4 linked regions of the Notamacropus eugenii genome follow. The protein of the gene in region 2 purifies or fractionates together with the protein of the main gene of each other region. This does not show direct contact. Links are inferred from orthologs where the notes say so. Each region holds a gene or a part of one and is shown on either strand. Other genes may lie near its edges.

The links.
Region 1: the proteins of ASF1A (region 2) and CABIN1 purify together in Homo sapiens (affinity purification with mass spectrometry; 4 studies listed by BioGRID and IntAct, counting the BioPlex papers as one, with this or other methods). This does not show direct contact. The link is inferred for Notamacropus eugenii from reciprocal best matches to the Homo sapiens genes ASF1A and CABIN1.
Region 3: the proteins of ASF1A (region 2) and IPO4 purify together in Homo sapiens (affinity purification with mass spectrometry; 4 studies listed by BioGRID and IntAct, counting the BioPlex papers as one, with this or other methods). This does not show direct contact. The link is inferred for Notamacropus eugenii from reciprocal best matches to the Homo sapiens genes ASF1A and IPO4.
Region 4: the proteins of ASF1A (region 2) and CDIN1 purify together in Homo sapiens (affinity purification with mass spectrometry; 3 studies listed by BioGRID and IntAct, counting the BioPlex papers as one, with this or other methods). This does not show direct contact. The link is inferred for Notamacropus eugenii from reciprocal best matches to the Homo sapiens genes ASF1A and CDIN1.

What each region holds. Positions count from the first base shown.
Region 1 is NC_092875.1:1,491,774-1,499,512, reverse strand, and holds the start of CABIN1 (calcineurin-binding protein cabin-1), read left to right. Parts: upstream 1-4,723; 5' UTR 4,724-4,860; intron 4,861-5,461; 5' UTR 5,462-5,527; coding exon 5,528-5,530; intron 5,531-5,813; coding exon 5,814-5,906; intron 5,907-6,009; coding exon 6,010-6,123; intron 6,124-7,739. Other genes in the region: D-dopachrome decarboxylase-like, read left to right, coding at 91-163. UniProt on the Homo sapiens protein: May be required for replication-independent chromatin assembly. May serve as a negative regulator of T-cell receptor (TCR) signaling via inhibition of calcineurin. Inhibition of activated calcineurin is dependent on both PKC and calcium signals.
Region 2 is NC_092873.1:200,819,375-200,826,462, reverse strand, and holds the start of ASF1A (histone chaperone ASF1A), read right to left. Parts: upstream 3,006-7,088; 5' UTR 2,329-3,005; coding exon 2,220-2,328; intron 1,756-2,219; exon of another isoform or gene 1,154-1,755; coding exon of another isoform or gene 1,111-1,153; intron 1-1,110. UniProt on the Homo sapiens protein: Histone chaperone that facilitates histone deposition and histone exchange and removal during nucleosome assembly and disassembly.
Region 3 is NC_092878.1:9,093,694-9,101,022, reverse strand, and holds the start of IPO4 (importin-4), read right to left. Parts: upstream 3,015-7,329; 5' UTR 2,903-3,014; coding exon 2,834-2,902; intron 2,744-2,833; coding exon 2,657-2,743; intron 2,420-2,656; coding exon 2,340-2,419; intron 2,257-2,339; coding exon 2,215-2,256; intron 268-2,214; coding exon 138-267; intron 48-137; coding exon 1-47. Other genes in the region: TM9SF1 (transmembrane 9 superfamily member 1), read right to left, coding at 3,427-3,820, 3,955-4,228, 5,427-5,612, 6,008-6,629. UniProt on the Homo sapiens protein: Nuclear transport receptor that mediates nuclear import of proteins, such as histones, RPS3A, TNP2 and VDR. Serves as receptor for nuclear localization signals (NLS) in cargo substrates.
Region 4 is NC_092878.1:21,610,012-21,617,345, reverse strand, and holds the start of CDIN1 (CDAN1-interacting nuclease 1), read right to left. Parts: upstream 3,011-7,334; 5' UTR 2,384-3,010; coding exon 2,283-2,383; intron 1-2,282. UniProt on the Homo sapiens protein: Plays a role in erythroid cell differentiation.

The sequences.
Region 1 (7,739 bases), on a different chromosome or scaffold from region 2:
TGGGAGCTGACAGGGCTCTGGGTGCCAGGGGCTGGGGGTGAGATTGACAGTGACTGGGGGACAACTGGCGGGTACTCTTCCTTCCTGCAGAATTAACATTCGGTTCTACCCCCTGGAGCCTTGGCAGATTGGCAAGAAGGGCACGGTGATGACTTTTCTGTAAGCAGCCCAGAGATGGTGCTGAGGGACCAGCCCCCACACAAACCAAGGATTCTCTGTAGGACAAGCAGAATAAAGTGGAGCCCTGTGTTTGGTTGAGCACTGACTCCTTTTTCCCAAGCCCAGAGGTGGAGGCTGATGGGGTGGGGGTTGGCTGGAGGTGTTCCTGAGAAGGTCCCATCCATGGTGAGGTCGCCAGCAGAGCACTGCCAGGCTCCAGATCCCTAACTAGGCACAATCTCAGCGAGGGAACAGCCATCCTCAGGGCTTCCACCATCCTGGAGGGCGGCTTGGCACAGACGGTTCAGATGGACTGACTCTTCCCCTCTTCCCTTGGGGAAGGACAGTAGATGTCTCCACACTGTCCAAAGCCCTGACTGTTTGTATCTGTAAGCACCCCAACATACACAGGGGGGCCTGCTGTCATAGTTTCTTAGATCTGCATTCATAAAAGGAAAGGCAACTTTTGAAGGGTTAACATTCACTTTAACCAAGCACATGTATCATTCACCTAGTTCAGGGGAGTCAGCACATTGAACTTCAAAGAAAATGCACAGAAATCAAAGATCAACAGACATGGCTTCCTCTGCCTGACCATAATCAATACATACATCACAGTTCAATAGACAGGTTCAACTGTTTGACCATAGTTGCCAGAAAGGGAAGCACCTATATCTGGGTTTTCAAGGTTGGGGGAGGGGGTGTTCTTTAACTGCTTCCTAGAGTCCTCTTCTCTCCAAACAAACAGTTTCAAAAACTAAGCCCCAAAATAAAACCACACTGCAGTGTCTTTAGAGCCAGAGGGCATCACATCCCTTGAGAACCTGTGCCTCATTAATTAACAAAAGGCCTGGACCTTCCTACAAATCTTCCCAGGCCCTACAATGGGTTAGAAGAAAGATCCTCCTTAATCACTTTATTCAGAGGCACTTTTAGTAAAACAGAAACAGCAAAGATTCCACTGGGCTTGGCCAAACACTGCTCAGCCCTGGGCTAGTAAATGCAGAAAGGTCAGGAGTGAACCTTGAGGGTAATGTCCAGTAAGCTAGAATCTGGGCCCATCCTTGGAGCTCATCCACAATCCTCTGGAGGCCTTGGTAGAGCCCAGGAAGCTCTTGTGAGGGGGATTGTGCAGTTGTGCCAAAAGCTAGGACAGTGTCCCAGATTGGGCCTGGGTTGCCTCAGTTTCCTCTTTTTCTTCCTCGTGAAACTGCCCCCCATGGTTTTTGTTCATGCTCCCATAGCCTTTTCTCCATCCTCCTCTTCCTGGTGGCCTCTCTTGTTGTCTTCACTAGTCCTCCCCTTTCAGTCTCTGTGATGAGGTACAAGCCCAAGTCAAGACCTTTTTCCCTTGGATGAGGAGGGCTTTCGTCCCATTACTCTGAAGGGCCCCAGGAAAGTCTGGCCTTTGGGGGGGAGGGGGCTCCTTGGATTCCACTTCCATTTCTCCCAGCCTGGATACTCCCTATCTTCTATTTAGCATTCTTTTGATATCTCTCCCTTTGATCCTATTACCAGCCACTCCCATCAAGATCCTCCCTCCATCTGTATTCACCCCAGGGTACCCTTCAATCCCCCACCGCCCCCATCAAGACCATACCTGGGGCCCCAGACTAGTTGGCAGCACCTGGATTCTTCCCTTCACCCCAGGGTACTGGTCGATTCCATCAAGACCTCTGGATTGCCCCACCTGCTTCTAACCCAAGCCCTCCATTGTCTGATGTCTCCTGATTGCCTCTAGCTGTTTCCCACCCTCGACCAGTCACCCCAGTCCCATTGAGGTCCTCCTTGGACTTCTCCTCAAGACCCTTCCTAAACCCCTCCTCCCATCACCCTAGACTTCCAGACCACCCCCAGATCCCTCCAGTCATTTCTGTATTTAAGTTTGTTGACCTGAAAACTTTATTAAGAAAAGGCAGCAGGCTAAATGCATACATTTTATGATTTAATTAATTAATTGATCAATTCCCTATTAAAGACAACGGTAACATAATGCATTATGGAGCCAGAAATGTTCTGGCTACCCAGTGCAGAAATCTTCTGACTTATATACATCTTGCTGTGAGAAAGAAACTCTCCTAATTAAGCAAACCATAAATTCAGTAAGACAAGACAATTAACAAAGCAATGTTGGTCACGCCTTGGGATTCCAGGCTGGATAAACATATGTCTCGGTGATAAGGAAATCCCACCACTAGTGAGTGGCAGGCTTCCTGCCCTAAACATAACTGACATAGGAAAGGGTAAACAAAGTTCAATAGAAATTACGACCTAAGATGTCTGTGTTTTCTTTACCATTAACATGCCATAACATAGTGTAGGTCTACAAATATTAAGATATGGAAAACGTCCCATTATTCAAGATAGTGTCCCAGGTTAAAGGTCTCCTTAAGGAATGTAGAGTCAGCCTTGGCTGGCTTTTGCTGACATAGGAAGAGGCACTCTCTGAGTTTGCTTCAGAGAGAACAAAGAGATTATTCCAAAATTTTATATTAAACATTATCAAGTTCCATCTTGCCTTCATGAAGGTGCTTAGGTTTAGTCCAGCTCTGACTCTGTCTAGCTGAGTTTCTATCTGACAAGCGTTACAAATGGTTAGGCTCCTTAAGAGTCAACCCAAGGTGGCGAATCTTTAATAAACTTTGTTTTCTTTGGCTTTAAGAAGGCTTGAGTCGAATTCATTTGAGCAGGACTTGGTGTGTTGGTATTTTGGGGTCCATAGCACCCTTGAACCTCAACATCTGCTCTTTGTGCCTGGTCCCTCCTTCCCCTCCTGTCATGAGGTGATGGTGTTTGCCAAGGCTCAGGCTGGAGCCCTCCTTTCCTTTCTACCCTCCCCCCCAAGTCTTGCCCATTCTCCCAGCTGGCATCTTCTGTGCAAATGACCCCCTAGTCCATCGGTGCAGGTTTCATCTCTCCAAACTCCAGCATCTCCAGTTGACGCCTTCTACTCTGATGGGGCCCAAGTTGACTTATGGCAAAACCAGAAAACATGGCAACAGGCCAGAGCTTTGGGCTCAGCTGAACAGGATGGAATGAAGTAGGAGGGAGACAATAAGACTTTCTTGTACTTGGGTGGAAAGGAAAGATCCCCTTCACAGGAATGAAGTGGGTGACACTGGCCCAAACAGTGGTGGGCTGGCTCCCGGCAGTGTAGGCTGTGGCAGCCTCAAAGCGAGCCCCATCACAGAGAAGAAGCATGGCGGGCAGGGGGGCATCCCAATGTACCCTGACCCTGGTGTACCGGGGGCCTCTGGATGGCAACCAGCATGGGGAAGGGCCTGGGCATCCTTAACTTGCAGAATGATTGGAGATAATAATAACTAGCGTTAATGTAGCACTTGAAGCTCTCCAAGGTCCTGGACATATCTCATCTGATCCTCACAGCAGCCCTGTGAAGGATGCACTCTCTCCATTTTCCATACGAGGAAGCTAAAGTGCCCACGGGGAGTGACCTGCTCAGGGTCATACAGCTAGGAAGTGCCTGAGGCGGGATCTGAACTCAGCTCCTGGTGACTCCAATGCAGCTCTCCTACTCACTGCAGCCCCTTGCTGCCTCCAGCTGAGACAGCTCAGAGGGACCACGATGGCTGCCACGCGGATGAGGGGCCACACCCCCAAAGAAAACGGAAGGGGACCCCAAGGCAGGGAGGACGGGGCCTCCAGTGAGGGTGCAGGCTGCAGAGAGCAGGCGGGCCATGGCGGGGCTGGGCACAGGGCACGGAAGGGTGTGGCAGGAAGGTGTGATGCCCGGCTCGGCAGGTCATTCCGTCTCATCTGACTCCTGACCCCACGGGGTTTCCTGGCCACTTCGTTCTGCAGCTCATTTGACAGATGGGGAAACTGAGGCCACCAGGGTCAGCAGCGCTCCAAGCTGGCTTCGCGCTGGGGCCTTGAATCAGGACCGGTGCCCTACGCACTGGGCTGCCCGGCTGTGAGCCGTGGGTGCGGGAGATGCTCCAGGGCGGCCGAGGGACCACGTGCCAGCCTCAGCCACGCCCCCTGGGGGGGCTGTGAGGGCGGCAGCTCCGGCCCGCTCCGGGCTGGTCTACACCATCTCCCAGCCCGGGGAGAGGGTCCTGCGGCCAAGCCTGAGACCGCCAGGGGGCGCCCCGGGGCGGGGGAGGTCTGACGGCGCCCCAGGTACTAAGAGGGGAACGGAGCAGAGCGCCCCCTTAGCAAGGCGGGGCCGTGCCTGAGGTCACTTCCTGTCTTGGCCCCTCCTGCTTCCGGCCCCCTCCCTCCAGCAGTGTGTGACAGACATGGGGCCCCGCCTTGGGGGGAGGGCTGCTTTTCTTCCCCGCCCAGTGAAGTCACGTCCTGTCTTCTCCCCGCCCCCTTTCTTCCTTCCGAAAAGAAGCTTCCGGCAAGCTCAGCTTTACTTCCGTTCCTGGACCCGCCCTCTGAGCTGGCTCAGAGGGGAAGCAAAGAAGAACGCCCCTCCTTCCTGGGCTAGGGTGGCGATGACGTAACCAACAGGACCCACCCTTTCCCCCAGTGATTGGCTCAAGGCATCCGGAGCAACAGCCAATCGGCGCGCCCGTTGTTGGCCGACTCCCGCTCCGGCTTTTGTTCATCCTTCTGCGCCTGTGCTGGAGGAGCGTCGGAACCTGTTGTCAGGACACCGGGCGGGTGAGGCGGGGGTGGGGCTAGTCCGGCCCCTACCCGCCGGGCCTCACTTTCCCTCGGAGTTAGTAAGGAGTCAGTATCTGGGGGCCAGGGCAGGGCGGTGCTCAAGGGGTAGAGAAGGGACGGGATGGGGGGCTGTCCCTGCGCGAGCCGCAAAGGCGCGGAGGCGGAGTGCTGAATTCTGTCTCCTCTCCATCCCCGCCCCCCAGCTGTGCCCATCCCTGCCCCGTCCCCCGTCCTTCCCCCTCAGACCGGCAGAGGCCGGTCCGGGAAGGGGGTCTCGGGGTCATCGGGAGCTGCGAGTGTGAGCGTGTGTTACGGCCCCCCCGGCGGAGAGGAAACTGAGGCAGGGCTGGGGGGCGGGGCTTCGGGCGCACCAGGCTTGCTCTGCCTGGTGCCCACGGGCTCCTTGGCAGGCTGGGCCCCAAGCGCCCGCCGGGTCCTTGGACGGGAAGCGTGTCAGGCCTTTCTGGCATTCCTGGGAGGCGCGGGCTGGGCTGAGTCCTCCCCGTGATGGGAGGGGAGCTGTCCTGGGGGAGGCTGTCGGGGAGGGGGGGTGTCCCGGGCGGAGCAGTCCCGGGTCAGGGGCTGTACCGGGGGGAGTCCTCGGGGGAAGTCCTCGGGGCCTTCGGCAGCCCCAGCTCCCATCCTCAGGGCTCTTGTTTACTCCTAGATGTGACCCCCTGCTGGGCAGGGGCGTGGTCCAGAGCAAAGACTCGGCTGCTGGCCCTCCTCGAAGATGGTGAGTGAGCTGGGACTCTGGGAGGGGCCGTTATCTTCCCGCCCCTGACCCTCTGAGACCGTGGCTCCAACTGTGGATGGGGTGTGCCCTCAGCTGGGCGCTCCCCCTAATGTTGGGGCTCCCGGAGCCCTCGTCCGTGGGCGCACAGCTCCCCCTAGGCGCCCCCGGAGGTCAGACCGGGCAGTCTGGGGCCCCTGTCTTTGCTGGCTCTGGCCTGGGGAGGGGGGGGCAGGACCACTGTGTCCCAGGGCCCCACAGGCTCCCTTCCCCGTGCCCTTTCCAGATCCGCATCGCAGCCTTGAACGCCAGCTCCACTGTGGAGGATGAGCACGAAGGGACCTTCAAGAGCCACAAGACCCAGACCAAGGAGGCACAGGTAAGCGGGCGGGGCCTGGCCCTGCTGCCCCTTCTGGCCCGACTGCTCCCACTGACCAGCCGGACAGCTCCCACTGACCGTCCAGTCCTTGTCTGGCCCTCAGGAGGCGGAGGCTTTCTCCCTGTATCACAAAGCCTTGGACCTGCAGAAGCATGACCGCTGGGAAGAGTCGGAGAGAGCCTACCAGGAGCTGCTGGAGATCCGCCTGCTGCGGGAGGTGAGCCTGTCTGGGGGAAGGGGGGGAGGGGGGAGGGAGGGGGAGAGGAAAGGGGAAGGGGAGGGGGAGGGGGGGAGGAGGAGGGGGAGGGGAGGAGGGGGAAGGGGAAAGGAGGAGGGACCCCCATTGCTGCCGCTGTGCACAGTCTGCTGCTTCTGCCCAGGCTGGTCTGAAACCACGCTCCTCATTTCTCCAGCACCTCTCACAGAAACCTGCTATAAATATTTTTGTACATGTGGGTCCTTTTCCCTTTTCTATGATCTCTTTGGGATACAGCCCTAGAAGTAGTTTTGCTGGGTCAAAGGGGTCTCCAGAATGATAGGATCAGCTCACAACTCCACCAACAATGCATTAGTGTTCCCATTTTCCTGTATCTCCAATATCATATTTATCATTTTCCTCTTTTATCATGTTAGCCAGTCTGATAGTGAGTAGTTTTGATTTGCATTTGTCTGATCAGTAGAGATTTAGAGCATTTTTTCATGACTACCTAGCTTTAATTTTTTCATCTGCAAACTACCTATTCATATCCTTTGAGCAATTATCAATTTAGGAGTGACTTGTATTCTTATAAATTTGACTCAGTTCTGTATATATTTTAGAAATGAGGCTTTTATCAGAAACACTGACTCTAAAAATAATTTCTCAACTTTCTGCTTCCTTTCTAATCTTGGTTGCATTGGTTTTGTTTGTGCAAAAACTTTTTAATTTAATCTAATTAAAATGATCCATTTCTCATTTCATAATATTCTATCTTTTGTTTGGTCATAAATTCTTCCCTTCTTCATAGATCTGACAGGCAAATTATTCTTTGCTCTCCTAGTTTGCTTTTGGTATCACCCCTTATGTCTAAATCACATACACATTTTGACCTTATCTTGGTTTACGGTGTGAGATGTTGTTCTATGCCTATTTTCTGCCATACTATTTTCCATTTTTTCTAGAAGTTTTGTCAAATAGCGAGTTCTTGTCCCAGAAACTGGGAATTTTTGGGTTTATCAAATAGTAGATTACTATAGTCATTTACCATTGTGTCTTGTGTACCTAACTTATTCCACTGATCTGCCTTTCTTTTGCTGCTTCATAATACAGTGTTAGATCTGGCGCAGCCTTTACATTTTTTCCCCCTGCTAATTCTCTTGATATTCTTGGCCTTTTGTTTTTCAAGATGAATTTTGTCATTTTTTCTAGCTCTATAAAATAATTTTTTTGGCACTTTGGTGTGGCGCCAAATAAGTAAATTAATTTAGGTACCACTGTCATTTTTATTAAATTAATCCGAGCAGTTGATATTTTTCTAATTATTTAAATTCTTCTTTATTTGTGTGAGAAGTGTTTTGTAATTGTGTTCCTGTAGTTCCTGGGTTTTCTTGGCACATAGACTCCCAAATGTTTGGTACTGTCTACAGTTACTTTAAATGCAATTTCTCTTTCTGTCTCTTGCTGCTGGGCTTTGTTGCTAATATGTAGAAATGCCAATGATTTATGTGGGTTTATTTTATGTCCTGCAACTTTGCTAAAGTTGTTAATGATTTCAAGTAGTTTTTTAGTGGATTCTCTTAAGTATGTATCACATCATCTACAAAGAATGATAGCTTTCTTTCTTCATTGCTGTT
Region 2 (7,088 bases):
GCTCTTCATTCATGTCCTGAGCTCCTATAATCCTTATAAGTTGAGACCTAAAGTAGGAGGCACCACCAAAAATATGTTTATGACGTAGGAACTCATACTGAACTAATAAGTAACACTTATTCCTGACAATTCCTCCCTGCACCCCCCTTTTTAACCTGTTCATTTGCTTTATACTTCATGCTGATGGTGGCTAAGAGGCTACAGCTGTCCAAAATGAACAAGGTACTTTTGAATAATGAGAAAACGGAAAAGCAATCCTGTGTTTTGCTATTATTTAGCTTTATTTTAATGGTTAACTTTTAAAACCTGGCCCATTTCTTGATCCATCAAGTTCAAAGAGCTGTACACAAAGATTAACAACTAGTTTGAGAACATCAGGAAATGTTAGTTAATAATCAAGAGAAAAGATACTTTATGAAGTTTACTTTGATGTGTCCACATGAGAAATTCAAAATAATTCTCAATTAAAATTTAGCACCTACAATGTAGTACATCAGTAACAAATCTGAAATAGTATTTTCACATTTTGGAAATTAAAAATTACAAAAAAATTCGAGAACATTTTTTAAAAGACCCATAAGGTAAATTTGATGCTATCTGAAATGGTATATATTCTGCATACCATACAGATGAAAATAAATATAATGAAATTTTCCTCTTTCAAAAATAAAATACTTTAAGCCCCTAAAATAAATGCTCACTACAACAAGTCACTTAACCTCCCTGGGCTGAGTTTCCTGATCTGTAAGGGGGGGGGCGCTGGCCTAAATGATTCCTCCTAGGGCTCCCTTAGGCCTCTGAATCCTATGGTCCTACTTCAAGCCTGCACTCCAAACGTGTCTTCCCTTACCCCCTTGTCCTCTCACTACGAGTCTGCGGAAGGGCAGTGTTCGCTTCGCGTTTGCCGATGGGGTCAGCACCCCAAGGTGGCCGGGAGAGCTCCGGCGCTCTCCCCCGGTCTGCACAGCCCACGCGGCGAGTCCTGCCAGGGCGCTCCACCTAACTCTGGAGCGTGCTGAAACCTCCAGGAAAACGTTTGCTCCTAAAGTCATTTTAAGAGTTTTGTAAAATGATTACTCCCAGAGTTATTAGTGCTAACAGTTAACTAGCCTTGATGGCGCTCGGACGTTGGCAGAGAGCTCTCCTCGAGCATCCCGGAGTCCCTCTTGTCCTGGCCATCCTGCGTGGAGGTGATTCCCTCCAGAGCCTCTCGAATTCTGTGCGGCTGTCAGAGTCCCCGGGGAAGGCTGCCTGGCACCCTGCCCTCCGCCGGGGTGGGCAGGGGCAAGAGCTCCGAGGGAGGGAGCGTGTGGATGCCCGAGCCTGTGCCCGCCTCCCACTCGACTCAGGAAGCCGGAGAGGAAGGCACAAGGCTTGCCCCGGCTTTTCCTGCCGCTCTGCTTAGGCTAGGAGGAGCCAGGGCCCCCGGAATGAAGTAGTGCAACTTTGAAGCGAGTGCTGGCCTTGGCCAGTGGGAGTCGGGAGGTGGGCAGGTGCCCGGGGGACGCCGGGGCTCCGGGGGTAAAAGATGGCTCCGTTTTCGAACTCTCCGGCGAGCAGACACGCGCACACACCAGGCTCAGCTCTTTTTTTAAAAAGCCTCCTCTCCACCGCTCCCCCCGGTCCCAGGCCGTGCAGACAGGGGGGTCTTGCCCCCTCTCCTTCACGGGTGTCTCCGCTGGAGGCTCGGCCGAGCCAGCTCCCCGCGTGGGAGCAGCCGAGGGGCGCGGAGGCTCGCGGGGGGCCGCGGGGCTCCTCTCCTCCCGTTAACCCTTCTCCCACACCCAGACAAAGCTGACAACATGGCTACCACCACTCAAACAAGTTACTTGCAACTTCAGCCCGGCTTCGCGAAAAGGCAGCGGTGGGAACCCGGGCGGCTTCCCCGCGCTCCCCCTCGGTCTCCCCGCCGGGGCGAAGGGCACAGTAGCGAAACGCACCCGCTCCAAGTTTCCCTCCGGCAGCGGCAGGGGCAGGGACAGGGGCAGCGGCCGCCGCGCGCCCCGGCCGAAGCCCCGCCGGCCCCTCGGAAGCCGCAGGTCTGCAGCAGCCCATCCTCCTGCTGCTCCTCCTTCCTCTCCTCCATCCCTGAGATGCGGCGGAGGCTAAGGCTGGGAAGGAGCGGAGGGAGAGAAGAAAAGAACCGCCAGGCCTGGGGAAAGTTTTCGCGGAGAAGCGCCCCGGGCCGGAGCCCCCCTGGCGGGACCCGCGCTACTCACCTTCCGACAGATCCTCTATGCACTCAAACGTGATCTCGAACTGAAAAGGGTTGTAGAACGGAGAAGGGTTGTCCAGCACCACCACATTGTTCACCTGAACCTTTGCCATATTTTGAGAGAGGCAGAGGAACCCCGCACAAACAATAGGAAGGGGGTGTTCTTGCAGCGCCGCCGAGTCCAACGTGTTCTGGCTGGGCGCAGCCCCCGCTCCAGCACCGGCCCCGGGCCAACGGCGGGCGGCGGCGACTTGGGAAACTTTTGGTCGGCTTTCCCTCCTCGTCGTCGCGTCCCCTTCTTCTTCTTTTTGTATTTACACCGGGAAACAACTCCACAGTGTTTTTGCAGCTTTGCTATTTCCCTCAACTACAGCCCATTCTGCTCGGCGAACTAGCAGCGTGGGCCCCGATTGGCTGCACGCTGAGCTCTGACCCTCCTCCTCCTCCAGCTCCTGCTCCGGGAGAGCAAGATGGGCTCCCTTCCCCCGAACGGGCTCCGGAGGCTTCGCGGCTGCTCCACCTGCTGGCGCAGCCGAGGACAAAGGCGGAGAACAAAGTGAGCCGGGCGGCAGCCGGGGAGGAAGGCCGGGGAGGGCTCCTCCGGAGCCGAGCGGGGCAGAGCCGAGCGGGCTGGCGGCCCAGAGGCGGAGAGCGCCGCGGAGGGCCGGGAAGCCCCGCCCCCGGGATTGTTTCCACGCTCCTCGCACGTAGGGCGTGTCGGCCAGTAGTCAGCCGGGATCGGGGAGGGGAGGGGACTCGGCCGGAGCGGGGAGGGGGAGGGGGAGGGAGGAGAGAAGAGAGAGGGAAGGGGAGGAGGGAGGGGGAGGGGGAGGGGGAGGGGGAGGGGGAGAAGAGAAGGGGGAGGAGGGAAGGGGAAGGGGGAGGAGAGCAGAGAAGGCCGGCGTTCTCCTCTGAGATGGAAGGGCTCTGTCCAGGGCAGCAGAGCAGTGTGCCCAGATACACTAGGGGAATATCCACACGCGTGGGGGAAGTGCCTTGTGAGTGTGCATGACGTCTTAGCAAACAAGACACCTTCCTGACTTAAAGTCCTGAGGCTCGCAGCTCTGCAGAACTACCATCCTCTCCAGTCTCAGGGGGCCTCCCATCCAGGAGTGCCTAACCTTTTCTCATTTCACTGACAGCCTGGCAAAGCCTATGCAAAGCCTCCTTTGCAGAATCTTGTTGTAAATGCCTAAAATAAGATATGTAACATGACAAAGGAATCCAAATATTTTGAAATATCAAAAAAAAAATGTAATCCAAATTCACAGCCCCCCCAAGTTGAGAATCCCCTCCAAGTCTTTCCAGTTCTAGAAAGCATTTTCTAAATGGAAAGTTAGAGATGGAATGAGATTCATCTCAATGTTTTGTTGGGGGGGGATGAAAATTAGAAGGGGGAAAGGAGGAAAATTGGAGAGATGAGAAAAGCAAAAAAGACAAGCATTTTCAGCCAGTAGATGTAATTCAAAATCTGGGATGCAAACTGTTAGTACTTTTAGACATATTTTTAACCCTCAGAAGCAGTTAAAAGAGCCAGTGCATGGCCAAAGCCAGTCCAATGAGTGAAAATGTTGATTTCATTTGTAGCCCTTTGTTGCTCAAATGGGCTTTTTAATCTTAATATATAATATTATAATATAATTATAATATAATCATCATATGTTTTGTGAGATTTTAGCATTTTTAACTTATTAGCCGTTATTGATATGGCAAAACTAATGTGAAAATTAGTGTTCATTTATTCCATTCACAAAGCACCTATTGTTTTAAAATATTCATGATAAGAACTACCCAGCCCTAGTTCAATTTAAAGTAAAATAATCTCATACATATCCTACTGGATGCTTGGTGGAAAGTATCCTGGGTTTAGAGTTATAACCCCCTGGGTTCTAGTCCTCATGCTGACATACTGGTAAGGGGGACGCTGGATACTTAACCTCTCCTTCTGCTAGGCAACTCTGGAAGACAAGAAATTGCAGAGAAGGTACCAACCTAGAAGTTCCTCCATGTAAGAATTCCTTATATCAAGGAAATCATAGATTTATTCTCTATTCTCCAAGAAATTAGCCCATTAAAAGTATAGACCTTAGAAGCCATCTTGTATAACTGCATCATTTTAAAGATAAGGAAATTAATGATTCCAGAAATATTGAGACTTGCCCATCGTCACATTGGTCACAGGTAGTAAGTAAAAAAAAAAATCAAGATTCAAACTTGGCCCCTTTGTCTCCAAATTCACATTTCACACACAGTCTTCCAAAGTAATAAACTAGATCTTCCATAAGACCCATTCTAGCTCCAAAACCCTCTGGCAGTTTCTTTGCAAAAATGCATGTCTTTGAATTTAAATAGATATTATTCTTCATACCCACAAAGAATTGTGATGATCTTTGCAAGATTTTTTAATTCCAAAGATCTGGCTTTTGAAGTAGGGATCCCTTCCTTCATCCATATCTTGGTTCTCACAGCCTAGAAAGTAAGGTAGGTTATGTTCCATTTGGTGCTTAGTGGAGAGTGTGTCACAAAAGAATTTAACTGCCACATATAAAAATTAGCCAAAATGGTTTCCTCCTGGTGTTATTACATACAGCATATGGGTCAGAATAATGAAACCAAACTGCAAATGGTACTATATGTTTTGATGATAGACTCATATGAATAATAGTCCTCCTTTTTGTTGACAAGCTGACATAAGAAAACTGTGATAAATGTAGAAGCTGCCCTCTGTGCAGAAAGATACCCTGAATATATATGTAAAATGTCACTTTGCAAATGATTTTTTTTCTTACTGTAAATGTCTTATTAATGGTAAATAAAATTTCTAAAATGTTATAGTGATTGTAAGGGAAATTCTATGTCATAGGATCATGTTCTTAGAACTGGAAGAGACCTTAGACATCATTTAGAGTATAGGATCAAATCTGGGGTACTTGGTCCCCTTTGGATAGAAATTACAGTTAGGGGAACTTGACAAAAAAAAATTACACTTTAATTTTTACTGAAAATTTAACATTTCCTTCAAGTATTTGAGAATATTATTCAGAGAAGGGCCCCATAGTCTTTACCAAACTGCCAATGGAAGGTCCACCACACTCATACTGAAGAATCCCTAATCTATGAATCTTGATTCTAGACCAATCTCTTGTAGCGCCAATGTGATATTCACAGCGCCTATGGCAGCCTGAATATGCTAGCGCAATTCTGAATCTCGAAATACAACAGACTCTCCACATGGAAGACAGAACCAAAACATTTATTCAGACACCAAAAATCCAAATCCCCAGCACCAGAAAGCCAAATCCATCACAGTAACCAAGAAATCTATACACACTAACAATGCAGGGGGCACTACCATCCTTAAGCCTTCCCTCCTTAGACTTCCCACAAACCAGGTCTCTTAAACAAATCACAAACGAGCTCTCCCACTCCGACTAGTTGCAGCCTTTCCCAGCTCTGATTGCTCTCTGATTAACTTCCTCTCACCTTTTCTCTAGCTCCACCTCTTATTGTTCTACCCTTCCTGTTCCATATGACTTAGACTCATGTGACTCAGGCTTAATGGATGGGAAAGATCGTCCCATTAAGAAGCAAAATTACATTAACAATAAGCAGAAATGCATTATCAATACATACATCCCTTCTTTTTCACAAGAGGAAACCGAGACCCAGAGAGTTTAAATGATTTGTCCCACAGAGCTTAAATTCAAATCCAGTTCATCCTTTTCTAAAGCCAGTGTTTCCTCTGGTACTATGCTTCCTCCCTGTTGTTTTATAAGTATAAAATTATGAACTAGGTAAAAATAGAGTGAAATCCAACTCAATGAATTTTGTAATCTTACCTTGGAAAAGAGCCTTGTCTTAAAGCCAACTTGATGGGAAAGTCTCAGCCTTCTTAAGAAGTCTCATTAAGTCATAAAACTCCATTATGATGCTTATGTAGGGTGGAGAGTGGGGGAAATTGGCTCCCTTTGAGTAATGTCAGAATAGCTCAACTTTAGTTCAACCCATTCCCTTCATTACTTCTCAGCTGATGTGTCAGGATAGCACATTTCCTGTGTTTCTTGAAGATCACACTGATTATCATAGTGAGCTGGCATCTTTCTATAATACCAGCTCCTTACTGGCCCAGATTTTCTATTTTCTTTCTTAATTATCATTTGTTGTTGAGTCATTTTCAGTCATGTCCCACTCTTCCATGACCCCATTTGGGGTTTTCTTGGCAAAGATGTTGGAGTGGTTTGCCATTTCCTTTTCTAATAAACTGAGGCACACTAAGTGACTTGCCCAAGGTCACACAGACGGTAAGTATCCGAGGCCATATTTGAACTCTGGTCTTCCTGACTCTAGGCCCTGCCATCTATCCCTTTCATCACCTAGTTGCCCTAATTGTTATGGGCTGAGGATTTCAGAGACCTGCTTTTCTTGAATTCTTAACCAAGACCATCCCCCTCCCCATTCAAAATTCAATAAACAAAGGGTCAAAAAGAAGGTTATTTCTGTAAGTGTATTATCTATCCCATTATACTAGAAGGTCCATTTTGGAAAGGGATCTTGTCCTATTCTGTGTTGACTCTAAGTGATCTCTTATAAGTTAGCCCAATACTTTGTGCATTGATTCTCAGGAAACCTTTACTAAATGAAGGAATGACCAAAAAAACAACTCCTTTAACCCTTAGGGGAGCCACAACATTTTAAAATTTCTTTCTTCAGAACAACAAAGGATTTGTAAGCACTTTTATTTCTTGGTGGTGTTTGGTAAGTTTTGCTACTTACCTAAAAGCTAACAATACTTGTGAGACTTGTTAGAATAAATCTATGGATATTTTTGGGAGGGAAGAAAGTGGAGGACTGAGGAGAAGAATGAATTAATACG
Region 3 (7,329 bases), on a different chromosome or scaffold from region 2:
GCTTCAGGCCTTGAGGTTACCACCACACTCAGGAGCAGTAGTCCCATCTGCCCAAGAAAAGTTACCCAACACACTGAGCCCTTTGCTGTCCCAAGCCTTGACTGGGTCCCAACCCTCCCAAACTCCATGAACCGTACCTCCCTCTCAGGGATGCAGGGGCTTCGAGTGCTGCACTGGAGCAGCTGCATTAACTGAGGCCAGGCATCCAGGCCTTCGTTCCTCAGGATGGTTGCCGACAACTGGGCCAGGCTGAGGATCACGCTGTGCCTGTCGGTCGGAGAACAGCCATAAAAAAAGGGCCAACAGCACGGAGAAAAGCTACTACTATGTAAAACGCCCTTGGTCAGAGCCACGGCGAGACATTTCAGCACTTTTACCACCGCCCCATCTCCTTCTCTAACATGAAGCTCACGACCCAGCTGCTTTCCTTCTCTTAGAGGGGATCCCCACCACCTTCCCTTCCAGGGGACGTGCCCTGAGCTGCAGAAGAGGCAGAGGGCCTCTGCAGAGGATGCGCCAGGCCAGGTGGAAAGGGGCAGAGGATGTGCCAGGCCAACTGGGAAGGGGCAGAGGATGCGCCAGGCCAGGTGGGAAGGGGCAGAGGATGCGCCAGGCCAGGTGGGAAGGGGCAGAGGATGCGCCAGGCTGGCTGGGAAGGAGCAGAGGGCCTCCGCAGAAGATGCGCCAGGCCAGGTGGAAAGGGGCAGAGGATGTGCCAGGCCGACTGGGAAGGGGCAGAGGATGCACCAGGCTGGCTGGAAAGGAGCAGAGGGCCTCCGCAGAGGATGCGCCAGGCCAGGTGGGAAGGGGCAGAGGATGCGCCAGGCCAGGTGGGAAGGGGCAGAGGATGTGCCAGGCCAGGTGGGAAGGGGCAGAGGATGCGCCAGGCTGGCTGGGAAGGGGCAGAGGACGCGCCAGGCCAGGTGGGAAGGGGCAGAGGACGCGCCAGGCTGCCTGGGAAGGGGCAGAGGATGTGCCAGGCTGGCTGGGAAGGAGCAAAGGGCCTCCGCAGAGGATGCGCCAGGCCAGCTGGGAAGGGGCAGAGGATGCGCCAGGCCAGGTGGGAAGGGGCAGAGGATGTGCCAGGCTGGCTGGGAAGGAGCAGAAGGCCTCCGCAGAGAATGCGCCAGGCCAGCTGGGAAGGGGCAGAGGACGCGCCAGGCCGGCTGGCAAGGGGCAGAGGACGCGCCAGGCCGACTGGGATGGGGCAGAGGATGCGCCAGGCCGGCTGGCAAGGGGCAGAGGATGCGCCAGGCCGGCTGGCAAGGGGCAGAGGATGCGCCAGGCCGGCTGGCAAGGGGCAGAGGATGCGCCAGGCCGGCTGGCAAGGGGCAGAGGATGCCCAGGCCAGGTGGGAAGGGGCAGAGGATGCGCCAGGCCGGCTGGGAAGGGGCAGAGGATGCCCAGGCTGGCTGGGAAGGAGCAGAGGGCCTCCGCAGAGGATGCGCCAGGCCGGCTGGGAAGGGGCAGAGGATGCGCCAGGCCGGCTGGCAAGGGGCAGAGGATGCGCCAGGCCGGCTGGGATGGGGCAGAGGATGCGCCAGGCCGGCTGGGAAGGGGCAGAGGATGCGCCAGGCCGGCTGGCAAGGGGCAGAGGATGCGCCAGGCCGGCTGGGAAGGGGCAGAGGATGCGCCAGGCCGGCTGGCAAGGGGCAGAGGATGCGCCAGGCCGGCTGGCAAGGGGCAGAGGATGCGCCAGGCCGGCTGGGAAGGGGCAGAGGATGCCCAGGCCAGGTGGGAAGGGGCAGAGGACGCGCCAGGCCGGCTGGGAAGGGGCAGAGGATGCCCAGGCCGGCTGGGAAGGAGCAGAGGGCCTCTGCAGAGGATGCGCCAGGCCGGCTGGGAAGGGGCAGAGGATGCGCCAGGCCGGCTGGGAAGGAGCAGAGGATGCGCCAGGCCGGCTGGGAAGGGGCAGAGGGCCTCCGCAGAGGATGCGCCAGGCCGGCTGGCAAGGGGCAGAGGATGTGCCAGGCTGGCTGGGAAGGAGCAGAGGGCCTCCGCAGAGAATGCGCCAGGCCAGCTGGGAAGGGGCAGAGGACGCGCCAGGCCGGCTGGCAAGGGGCAGAGGATGCGCCAGGCCGGCTGGGAAGGGGCAGAGGACGCGCCAGGCCGGCTGGCAAGGGGCAGAGGATGCTCCAGGCCGGCTGGGAAGAAGCAGAGGGCCTCCGCAGAGGATGCGCCAGGCCGGCTGGCAAGGGGCAGCCCCGTACTCACTCTCTCTCGTGCTGCAGGGCTCTCAGCACCAGGGACTTCAGACTGGAACACAAGAGGGGGGAAAGCACTCAGCAGGGGCGCTCCTGCCCCGCCCCGCCCCGCCCCCGCCCCCCTGCGGCCCTCACCTCTCCCGATGGGACACCGCCAGCCGCCTCCATCGCGTGTTCAGGCGCCTCCTGATCAGCAGGGCCGAAAACTGCCTGATCTGGGGGGGAAGGAGGGGACGACGAGGGGCACGGGGGCACGGGAGAAGGACGGGCCATGACGGAGGGGATCCCAAGTCAGGACGGACCCAGGCTTGGGGGCTCTGCGGGTGGGGCCCGGGGGGTCAAGGAGCGAGGCGTGAAGACCAGCCCCCCACAGCGGGTGCCCCGGGGTCAGAGGTCGGGCGTGCGCGGGGGGCCAGCACGTTTCCCAAACCCGGGGTGGCGGGGGCTCTCACCTGCGGGTCGGGCGCGTGGGCCAGCAGCTCGCACAAGGCGGGCAAGGCGCTGGGCTTTCGGAGCGCGGCCTGGAGCTGTTCCGTGGCCTGGGGAGAAGCGGGCGGACACGGCGGGTCTTAGGCCGCGGCAGTCCCCCGCCCGTGGGTCCCGCCCACCCCGCGGGCCCCGTCCCGTACCCGGCGGATTCGCTCCGTGTCCGGCAGAAGCAGTTCCCGGAGGATCCGATCCAGCTCCCCGGACTCCATGGCAGCGGAGGCGGCTGCAGCTCCGGCAGCGGAGGAAGGGGGAGGGGCCGCACGTGGAGACACGGACACCCGCTTCCGGCGGAAGTGGCGCGCGCACGCCCCGCCCCGGCGTCGCCCTTCGCGACTCCCCGCCCTGCTTCCGGCAGGAGGATGGAGCGCTGCGTGCGCGGAGGGAGGCCGCGGCCTCCCCGCAGCGCCCCCGCCCGATCGGGGCCCAGAGCCGCCGGCTCCGTGCGGTTCCCTCCCGCCCCACCTTCTCGGACAGCGTAAGGGTTTCTTACCAAACTTTATTGTGACGGTTGTAAAAAGAAAACCATCGGAACCAAAATGAAAAGCAAATTAAAAATTCTAATATATAAGTCCTTCTCTATAGAGACGTTTCTAGATTGGAGGCGGCGGCTCGCGGGGCACACAGCAGGGGGGAGCCCCTCCCCGCCCCCGCCCCGCCCCGCCCCGCCCCCGCCCCGCCCCCGGGCCCGCTCGGGGCGGGCTCAAGCTGTGCCAGCAGCAGAGGGCCGGGTGCCTCAGTCCATCTTGAGGTTGACGTAGATGTAGCGGATGAACTTGAGCGAGGAGAAGAAGGAGATGGTGCCCAGCATGAGGAAGAAGACGTAGGCCGTGAGGAAGGAGTAGCCGAAGAACTCCACCGTCTGCACGGCCCCCGACATGTTGGAGCGCCGCGCGTAGTAGAAGCCCGAGTAGAGGAAGATGAAGAGGCCGGTGGAGCCCACGCTGAGCACGGAGCGCCACCACCAGCGGTAGTCCTCGCCCGACAGCTGGAAGTAGGTGAGCGCCACGGAGATGCAGGCGCCCACGCTCAGCAGGATGGCGAAGACGAAGAAGAGGATGCCGTAGAGCGTGTACTGCTCGCGGCCCCACACCGTGGCGAAGATGTAGTAGAGCTCCACCGAGATGGCACTGCCAGGAGAGGGGCGTCAGGGCCGGCCGGGCCGCGCTCTGCCCACCCGTGGGGAGGGGACAACCGCGTGCCAGGGGGGTGCCAGGACCCTCCGCGTGGGGAGTGAGGGCCCCAGGGTGGGAGGCGCAAATACCTGAAGGGCAGGAAGCCCCCGATGGTCATGTGCACGACGGTGGACTTGTACCAGGGCTGGGGCGGGATCTCCCGGGCGATGTTCTTAGTCCGACAGGGCGCATCGAAAGGGGTGGCATTGTTCTTACCAAAGATGCCCCCTATGACGGTGAGAGGGAAGCCCACCAGGAGCCACACCGTGAGCAGCAGCAGGATGGTGGTGGCCGGAAGCGCCTGCGTGGATCCGTTGGCCCAGTGCACAGAGTTCACCACGCTCCAAGTCAGGAAGAAAGGCACTGCAGGGATGGGCCCCCAGGAGGGCAGAGATCAGCATGGGAAGCCACATTCTGGGGGAGACCCACTTCAACTGGACCCGAAGGGGGACAGGGGGAGCCAACCTGCCACTCTAGCCCTAGACTTCCACCCTCACCAACCGGTTCTGCTTCTCCTTGGTCTTGCCTCCCACTCACCAGTAACTCTCAGGAATGGGCCAAGCCTGCCTAATAGGATGATTTAAGAGATGTGAGTGGAACTGAACGTTCCTGAATTCTTCCCTCTTACCCGCAAAGTCTGCTATCACATTCACACCTGCAAGTATTACATTCCTTTGAGTTTAGGGTGTTGTTCAAAACAAATACTGAGAGATTAATGTTCCCCTACATCTGTTAATAATAATGAGCTAGTATTTATATGACGTTTTTGAGGTTTGCAAAGCCTCTTACATGTTATCTAGTTTTACAATAACTTACAATAACTCTGAAGTAGGTGCTATAACTATCCCCATTTTATAGAGAGGGAGCTAAAGGTGAGGGAGGTTGAGTGACTTGTTCAGATCACAGAGCTAGTAAATGAGGCAGGATTTAAACTCAGGTCTTCCTGACTCCAAGTCAAAGCCTCTATTCACTGTAACAGCATGATTACAATATCAAAAATGAGGCCTTGCAGTAGAAATGGGACATGGCACTAATAAATTTAGATTAGATTATTGGACTTTAGATGTACCAAACTGTAAGGATTTTGAGGGCAGGGAACTTCTATTTTACTACTGTATGGTTCTGTACAGTTCCAATCTGTGCTCCTCTACTGATCTCAGTACTTATGACATCACTAACAGAAGGTAAGTGTGCAATACATTTTTGTTGAACTAGGGAAAGGATGGAGAAGGGACTTGTTCTGTCAAGTCTGGATTCAGTCAACAGGCTGCACTTGAGGACCAGAGGGCCACATATAGCCTCCAGGCCACAGGTTCCCTACTCCTGAACTAAGGACTAGAAAAGTTCAGAGTTTAGGACTGTTGCCCTAGGAGGGCAGGCCTGATTTGAGGTATTGCTGTGAAGGGCCCTCAGTAGTTATCATAAAATATGTAAGCACTAGGAGGGATCCTAGAGGGAAGGACACCATGAGAAACAAACTTGACTTTTATACAATTTTGCCTCATGCCAACCATCCTCTGAAGCCCATTTTGGCCCAACCCAGGGTGAGTATGAGCCTCACCAGAGAAGAGGCTGGTGGTGAGGATGATGTTCCAGACCCAACGCTCGCCTCCAATCTGCCGGTAGAAGTGGCTGGACACATAGCCAGCAATGCAGCAGGTCAGAGCATACAGCAAGATGGCTGCTGAGTTGATGGCGCCATGGCGGTGCACATTGAACATGCCCAGCAGTGCCATGACGATGATGCCTACAGGGTAACAGTGTGAAGCCTGCGTTAGATCTTCCCTATCTAACCCCAGAAGTCCTACAGGAATCAGCCTTTCCCTCACTCAAACACAGGAACTACAAAAGAAGAATTTGTTCCCTCTTATCCACCCTACACCTTCAATGAAACTACCAATTTTTGTCTTGAACCTGTAGACCCATAGGTGTAACATGCTTTGCAGCTCTCCTGCTTTTCAGGAAGGGGAACCAGACACTTCTCAGCAAGAGAGTACCACTACTTGAGATGCCTAGGCCATGCCACCTCCCCATCACCTTAGAAGAAGAGCCCTAGATTGCCTCACTACCTAGGTCTTCCTTAGCTGGCCCAATAGTCCCATTCCCTAAGGAGATATCCTTAGCCAATTCTGTTTCCCTCACCAGTGCCAAGGGCCAGAAACTGGGCACCCACACCAAGCACAGCACAGAGCAGACCACGACATGGGGGAAAGCGGAAAACATCAGTGTGGATAATCTTCCAGCCATTGTCACCCTGGTCAAAGTCATCAGTGGAGCTGCCAGAGTTTGGCTCCTCGTCCAAATTGTAGCGGGCCAAGTCATTACGAAGGACACGCATGAGGATGACAGCTACAAATCCCACCAGAAGAAAAACCAGCACCATAGAGTTGATAATAGACAGCCAGTGGATCTCTAGTGTTCGAGGGAAGAAGCCACCATCATCACCATGGCGTCTATCACCCCGACGTTCTGCTGTAGTCTCAGACCAGTGCACACTGTAAGTGTGAGTGAGTTCCAGCTGTTCTTCAGGCCGTACCACATCCAGGCTATGGGGCTTGACATCACGAACTGAGACATTGGCAAAGACAATTCGATCCCCATGGAACTCAAGGTGAAAATCCAGATGAGTCCAGAGTCCTATCTTGTGACTATGTGGAAGGAAACCACTCTCCTCCATGTAGCCCACAAAGCCACGAATTGGCAGGTCATCCACCACAAACTCAAAGTAGTATAATTCTTCAATGGCCTGACGCAGGCGTTCAACCTATGAAAGACAGATAGGATTGCTCAAGATCTTCTCAGGAACAGGGTGGAGGGAAAACTTGATTTTATGATAACCAGTCCAATTTCCTGAGCATCCTCCAGAGTGAAAATGACCTTCTGGTTTTAGGACTAGAAAGGAAGAGGACAAAAAAATATGAGACCATGTTTCCACAAGCTCTGAATCCTGCCCTAAGGCAGGATTTACTAGAGGACATAGGAAAGAGGGTTGATATGGAGAAAAGGAAGTATCTGACAGCAAGGCAGCAGAGTGGATAGAGTGAGTGGAGTTCAAATCTAGTCTCAGACACTTACTGGCTGTGTGACCCTGGGCAGATCACAAGACAGCTGTCAGCCTCAGTTTCCCCATCTGTAAAGTGTTGATAATAGCACCTGCCTCCTGGGATTGATGCAAGGACAACATGAGGTATTTGTAAAGCCCTCTGTAAACCTTAAAGCACGATGTCCGTGCTAGCTCCTACCAGTATAAGAGACTTACTGGGTGAAACGGCCTGCCTGAGGATGCCAGACAAGACCTTACTGGGACAAACCCAGCAGCACCAGCAGCACCCGCAGGGCGGGTGGGCACCTGAGGTTCGCAGCTTCGCTCCAAGGCTGCCCCACTGCAATACCCAGCCCTCCCCTCGCTCCACGCGCCATGGAGGTGTCAGGGGTCCCCGGGCAGGGCCCCCCGGACGGCAGCG
Region 4 (7,334 bases), on a different chromosome or scaffold from region 2:
ACATCATGCTTTAATTTTCATAACTTGAAGATAAATTGCACAAGCATCTTTCATCACTAATCATACTAGTATAATAAGGTCTAGGAAAGGAAAATACTCTCTCCCTCCAATAGCATAATAATGCCTTAAGAAAGAATGGGATGGGGGAAGTGGGTCTGTTTTTTAAAATTAAATCATCAAGCCATTTTTAAAGTATCTACTAAGTGCTAGGAAGTGTGGTTAAAACTTAGGATGCTGATACAAAACATGAAATTCTCTTGCCCTTGAGGATCTTACATTCTAATTAGGGGAATGAAAGGATACAAAATAGATTGATAGGATACAAAATAAACACACAGTGACTGAGGATTAGGAACAACTAGGGGGAAATCAGAAAAGGCTTCCTGAGGGAGCTACTGGTTACAAGAGGCAGAGGGGAGGAGGTACAGAATTCCAGGCATGAGGGGCAGAAAGGCAAGAGACAGAATGTCAAATAGCCAGTTTGATGTTGGGGTTGCGCGGGGGGGGGGGGGGGGATTGTGTGTCTGAGACACTGAGAGACAAAGAAACACAGGATGAAGCCAAATTATGAAGGGCTATCCATGCCAATGGACTTTGTGTTTCAGTATAGAAGGGCTGAGCAGCCTCTAATCTCCCTGACCAGAGGAGCATCATGGTTAGACATGATTTAGGACCATCAATTTGGCAACTGTATGGGGAATGGATTAGAGGGGGAATAGATTGGACATAAGGAGACCAATTAGGAGACTATAACAGTGGTCCAAGGGAGACATGATAAGCCCCTGTAGGATGGTGATTGTAGAATAAAGAGAAGTGGACAGATAGTAGAGATGTTTCAAAGGTAAAGTGGATAAGATTTGGCAACTAGTTGGATAGTGATGGAGGGGGAGTGAGAAAATAAAAAGTTGAGTATGATTTATCTAGAATGCAAACTTGAGTGTCTAAAATATAAAAAACAAAATAAGTTGGTGAGAAAGGGTAGGTACAAGATAAAGGAATACAGATAAATTTTAATTATCTTAGCAACACAAGGAAAAGCAGTAATCTTTATCTAGCAACTAAAGTGACTTGGCTGTACTTGACTTGTCAGGAAGCATGCCTTCTACTGTGAGTTCTACCACTTACTAACCATGAAATCTTGGGTAAATTTGGTCTTAATTTCCCCACTTGTAAAATCAGAGTTGAAGAAGATTATTTTTAGGGTATTACAAACTCTGTTATTCTAATTTCAAGAAACAGTGGCTGGGAAATTAAACGCAGGCAAAATTATTATTTGGTAGGAGGTGGGGAGGAGAGAGAGTCATACAAAAATATAGGAATACAAGATCTGAGATTTCCTCCTAGGCAACACCTGTTGTGGAAATTTCCTTCCTCACCAGATATATCCAATCTATGATTTAGGAGATGTCCGAGAGTTACAGGGACAGAGGTTAAATTACTTGCCCAGGGCCACACAACTAATGTCACAAATGGGACTGGAACCTAGGTCTTCTTGACTCTAAGATCAGCAAGCTACCTACTATGGCAAGCTGTTGCTGCATCTGCTTATTCATATCTACCTTATTAGTAAACTAAAGCTGATATCCTCAGCTCTCAAGTCTATCTGAAGGAATTAAGAGACTATAACCACAAGACAATCTTGGCATGACAGTCCCAGAAAGCCACCAGATTGTATTGAGCACAGAGAGCAAGATACTCTGTGTTGCTAAATCCTAATGCCTGGAATGCACTCTCTCCTTACCTCTCCCTTTTAGAATCTTTTGGTTTCTTTCATTTATCAGCTCCAGAACCAACTTTACCAGAAGTCTTTCAGATTTCCAGCTGCAAATGCCTTCACAGTTACATTGTATCAACTACAGATTCACACGTGTAAAATCTTAGCTAGTTGGTAAACTCCTGGAGGGAGTTTCACTTTTGCTACTGTATCCCTCGAGACCCCCACAACGCCGGGAGTATTGATTGTGTTACTCTCTAATATATTTCAGTGAGTTTCTTGTTGCCTCCAAAATTTCTCTTCTTCATTCATTCATTCATTCATTCATTCATTCATTCATTCATTCGCCAGGAAGGGTTTATTGAGTGGTTACTCTTTTGTAGCCCTGAGGATAGAAAGCGCTTACAGTACTTCGGGGATCTTCAGTGGAAGATAAAGGGTATGGTGACACTGCCAATAATCCCTACCTATAACAACGAATGACCTGGCGTCCCTACGACCCCAGCACTGTCCGTGCCCGCTAGTGCTGTAGCACCTGGAGACCCTGCAGAAAGAGCGGGAGACTTACCTGGGGAACCTCTGTTTCAGCTTCCTCAGGCTCTGCCTGGTAGGTGGCACAGCCACGAGGCACTGAGCTATCTCCTCGTACTGGGCCTTGGTCAATATCATGTTTGGCCCGGGAAGGGGCTGGGGGAGTGAAATGACACCCAGGGGCCGCTGCAGCCCGAAAGGGGCTGGAGACAGCTGGCACCGCGCACCCTGGGGACCCGTCCGCCCTCCGCGCAGCACGCGGCACCGCCGGGGGCGGGGAGGAGGGGCACGCGGCAGCGATCCCCAGGTTCGCCGCGGTGGCGGCCACGGTGGCGGCGGCGGCAGGAGCAGTAGCGCGGGCTTTACGCGGGACTGCCCTCACTTCTGCCCTCTGAGCAGCCGCAGAGCGCGCAAGTGAAGGCCAGTAGGCGCCATGTCAGTTAAGGGAAAAGCAACCAGGAAGTAATGCTGCAAGACGCCTGGCTGCCAGATACTCCAGCACCTCGAAGCCCGCGCTGTTGCCATCTTTCATTCCTGGGCTGGGCTTGGGCGGCTCGGGGAAGTGTCCACTCTGAACCCCGCGCCCAGAACTTCCTTAAGGGGGAAAAAATGCCCAGAAAGTGCCTTGATGGCAGGACAGGATAGTCGGTGCTCAGCCGAGCCCTGGAAAGCGGTTGTTAACGCGTTGGAGTCCGAGTTCGCTTTTGCTCGGGGTGTGCGGGGAGGTGGGGAGCAGGGCTGTGAGGAGGGACTCCCCCCAGAGCCTGGCTGGGAGAGCAGAGCGACGCCTAGAGAAATCCCCAGCACCTGAGGATGGCCCCACAGGTGCCTCGGTTTTAAGGAGCGTTGAGGACCCTACCAACATCGAGCAGCCAGAACGGAGAAACTGACTTTGCATCTTGGAAAATTAGTGTCGAGCCAGTATTAGGAATCTAGGCATCGACCGGGGCTTCTCAGACTAATTTACAAGCCGGCTTTTTCTCAGTCACAGTTTAACAAGTCAACTTTTCTCACTGGCACAGTGACAGGGCTGGATTTGCAGTTAAAAGCCAGGGGGTGAGATCCCACCTGAGGGACCTTCCACGTCACTTCACCTCTCCACCTCAGTTCTCTAGTCTTTAGAATGAGGGATTTGGACTAAAATGACCTCCAAGGTCCCTTCTAGCGCTTTGATCTACGATTTCAAATCTTAGGGAAAATTAAATAGCCCTCTGGACACTGACACTTAACTTTACTGGGAAAGTAGTGGGGGTGGGGGCATTAATTTCGATGGATCTGTTTTTTTTTTTTTCAGAAGTTTTGTTTAATGGAAGAAAGTACTTGAACTTTGGTTGAATGATACTTAAAACAGAAAGCACAGATGTTAGCTTGTCAGGTTCCCTTTAGATTAAGTATTGAGGAAATTTGGGGGACTTTTCAGTTCGTGTTTAAAAGTTTCCTTCTCATTCCCTTTCCTTTTATTTTTTTAATTGTCACAAAATCCAGTAAATAGAGACCGTCCTGTACTCATATAGCTTTCTGCCAAATGTTTACATCAGGATGTTTTTTCCCCCATATGCTTTGTATCCAGGTCTGGCTGTGTGACACCCGTGCATAACTATTTATTTATGGCAGCGGTGCCTGGAGTTGCCACCTGGCTAGTGTGTTGCTGACCCTGCCACTACTTTTACATGAAAGCTATTTGATGCTAAGCAGAAGCTGCTTGTTCCCCTTTTCCTTACCCCTTCACATCTCCTTGTACCCAATTCATAGCAGTAAGATTTTGATAGAAAACATCAGTTTAGGGAGGTTTGTAGTAATTATTTTTTTAAATAGCTTTCACACAGCTCCATCCCCTACACTCAGCTTTACAACACTGAAGGAAAAAAGCCACCTTTAATTTTTGCTAGTCATTTCACTATTTGGTCCCAAATCCTGAAGATTATTTTGGCATTAACCCAGAAGAACACAGACTAAATGACCTAAATGAGTCTCCTTTAAGAATCTGTGATTGAGCAATAAACACTCTTGCACATGCAGGTCCTCTGGTTGGGGGAGAAAATTTTGAGATAATTGGTTACAGAATATTAAAAAAAAACTGTTCAGTGACTTGTAATCTAAAACCACTTGAATACCCAATAAAATATTACTGATGGATAATTTAGAAAGGCAAAGCAAAGCTGTTGATATAATCATCCTTCACAATATTTTATGTTTACAAGTAGAAAGTTTCTTTCAGTGACTCTAAGCGTAAGGTAGAAAGCAACGAAGCCTAAATCTCATTATAAGTAAGCAACCCAAGAAAAGTAAGCTTAGTTTACTATAGAGAAGCCAACAGGAGCTTAGTAACAAATGACAATAATGAAATAACTGAAATTGTTACCTTTTTATACCTAGTTCCTCACACAGTACCTGGCACACCATAGACACCTAATAAATGCTTGTTAAATATAATACTGTGGAGTTCACAAAATGTTTCATTTACCTTTTGATTTGATCCGTACAAGAACTGTGCTAGGTAAGCACCAGACATTATCATCATTTTGCAGACGAGAAAATGGAAACGAATAGGTTAAATGACTCATCCAGGGTCATAAAATTAAAAGCTGTATAGAGAAGTAGGGCAGGGATGAATGGAAAGGGACGGGTTTCAACACAGGGCCATTGACTTATCGTTTTCATCACAAAAAAACAAATTTCCCCATCAACCCAGATCAGCACACATTTTTCATCAGGTATTATTTTTCAGGTTGATAGCTTCCCATTATCCCTCTTACCTGACTCCTCACTATCAGCTTTCTAAGGAACAGGAAAAATTAAAATGATCAAATCAATCAATCAATAAGCATTTACTAAACACATATTCCAGGCATTGTGTGCTAAACTCTAGGGATACAAAGATAAAAGTGAAAGGATCCTTGCCCCTAAAGAGCTTACCTTTTTAAAAAAAAACATTCAATTTTATTTTACTTTCAGTTCTTTGAATTTTCTCCTCTGACATCCATTCCTCCACCATCCACTGAGAAAGCAAGAAAAACAAATTTGTTAAATACATGTAGTTAAGCAAAGCAAATTCTCACCTTAGCCAAGTCTCTCTCTCTCTCTCTCTCTCTTTCTCTCTCTCTCTCTCTGTCTCGCTATCTAGCTATCATCTATCTATCTACCTATCCATCTATCCATCAAACTATAATCTGAATTAATTGTCTCTCTCTGGAAGTAGATAGCATGATTCATCATAAATCCCCTGGAGCTGTGGGTACCATCATGTAGATCAGAGTTCCCAAGACTTTTGAAGTTGTTTAAAAGAAACTATATTCTAATAGGGGAAACAACATGAAATTTAGAAGAATACAAGGTATTTGGGAGGAGGAGTGCTCTTGGAAGTGGGGGATCAGGACATCATGTAAGAGATGTCCCTTGAGCTGAGTCTTGAAGGAAAGCAGTTCCTTGCTTTCTGCTTCAAGAAGCTGAAGTGAGAAGGGAATTTCTTCCTGCCTTGAGGGAGCCAGTGCAAAGATAGGGAGATAGGAGATGCAATGTTGCATGTTCAGAACAACAAATAGATCAGTATGACGATCAAAGAGAGAGCTGGAAGGGGAATTATGAATAAGACTAAAAGCACAGGAAGGGGGAGGTTATGGAGATATGGGAATGTCAGAGTTCATACATGATCCTGAGGGTAATAGCAGAGTCACTTTAATTGATTAGGGGTGGAGGAGGGAGGTTAGTATAATCAAGACCTGCCCTTTAAGAAAATCACAGGTAGCTCTGGAGAATGGATTAGAGTAGGAAACACCTTGAGGCGAGGAAGCCAAATAGGAGGGTATTGCAGTAGTCCAGGCAGAGGTGATGAGGAATGGATTTAGGGAGGTCACTAAATAAGTGGAAAGAATTGCGTGCATGAAAGAGAAGGTGCAGAGATATAAACAAGATTTGGCAATGGATTGGATATTTGTGAGTGAAGAATTAATGATGAGACAACGGTTATGAACCTGGGTGACTACAAAGATGATAATGTCCTTGACAGTAAGAGGGAAATTCAGAAGAGGGGTAGATTTAGGAGTGGGAGGGAGAGGTATTGAATTCGGTTCTAGACGTATTAAGTTTGAGATGCCTCTGGAACATCCCATTAAAAATATTTAACAGGCACTCTATGAGGCAAAAATGGAGCTCAGGAGAAAGATTAGGACTGTATATGGAGGTCATCTGCATAGAGATGTTAATTGAACCCACGGGAACTGATAAGATCATCAAAGGAGAAGAGTCTAGAAAGAGAAGAGAACCCAGAATAAAACCTCTGGGAACTCCCACAGTTAATGAACGGAGATGGTTCAGCAAATCAGCAAAAGTTCGAGATTGGACAGGAAGGAAGGGAACCAGCAGAGTACAGAGTCACAGTAACTCAGAAAGAAGAGAATTCATGGGAGGAAAGTATGACTGACAATGTCAAAAGCTGCAGAGAAGTCACAGAGGATGAAAAGTGAGAATAAGCCATTAGATCTGGTCCCCCAGAGATCAATAGTAGCTGAAGAGAGAAGTTTCATTTGAGTGATGAGGTCAGAAACCAGATTTCAGGAATTCAAGAAAAGTATGTAGAGGAATTGCATGTAGACATCTTTTCTGAAGCCCAAAGCAAAACCAATTTTCATTAATCAGTTCAGTTGAACCATTTATTCCTTGATGAATCTGGATTATTTTATTTTCTTTTATTTTCCTCTTACTCCTGGTCCTCATAGTCACTTTTCTGTTCCTATTACATATGTACCTGTCTTCATCATCATTATTATTATAATTACATGGGAAGTACTGTAGTAGAAACTCTAGAGTCAGAGGTCCTGGGTGTGAATCCTGACTTTGTTACTTTACTACCATTGACCGTTAGCAAGTTATTTAATCTCCATGGCTTCAATGAAAGGGAGGAGAAAGATGACTGTAGTTAGTACTGTTAGTAAATTGTAGTCAGTGTTTTTAAAGATAAGGAAGACTTTAGAGGGAAAACAAAAGTGCACATGACACAGTATGTCTCTGATTTGATTAGAACCCCAGAGGTAGTAAACCATTTTAACAGTGTAGGCTAGAAAATAAAGTGACATAATTGTTGGATGAACCG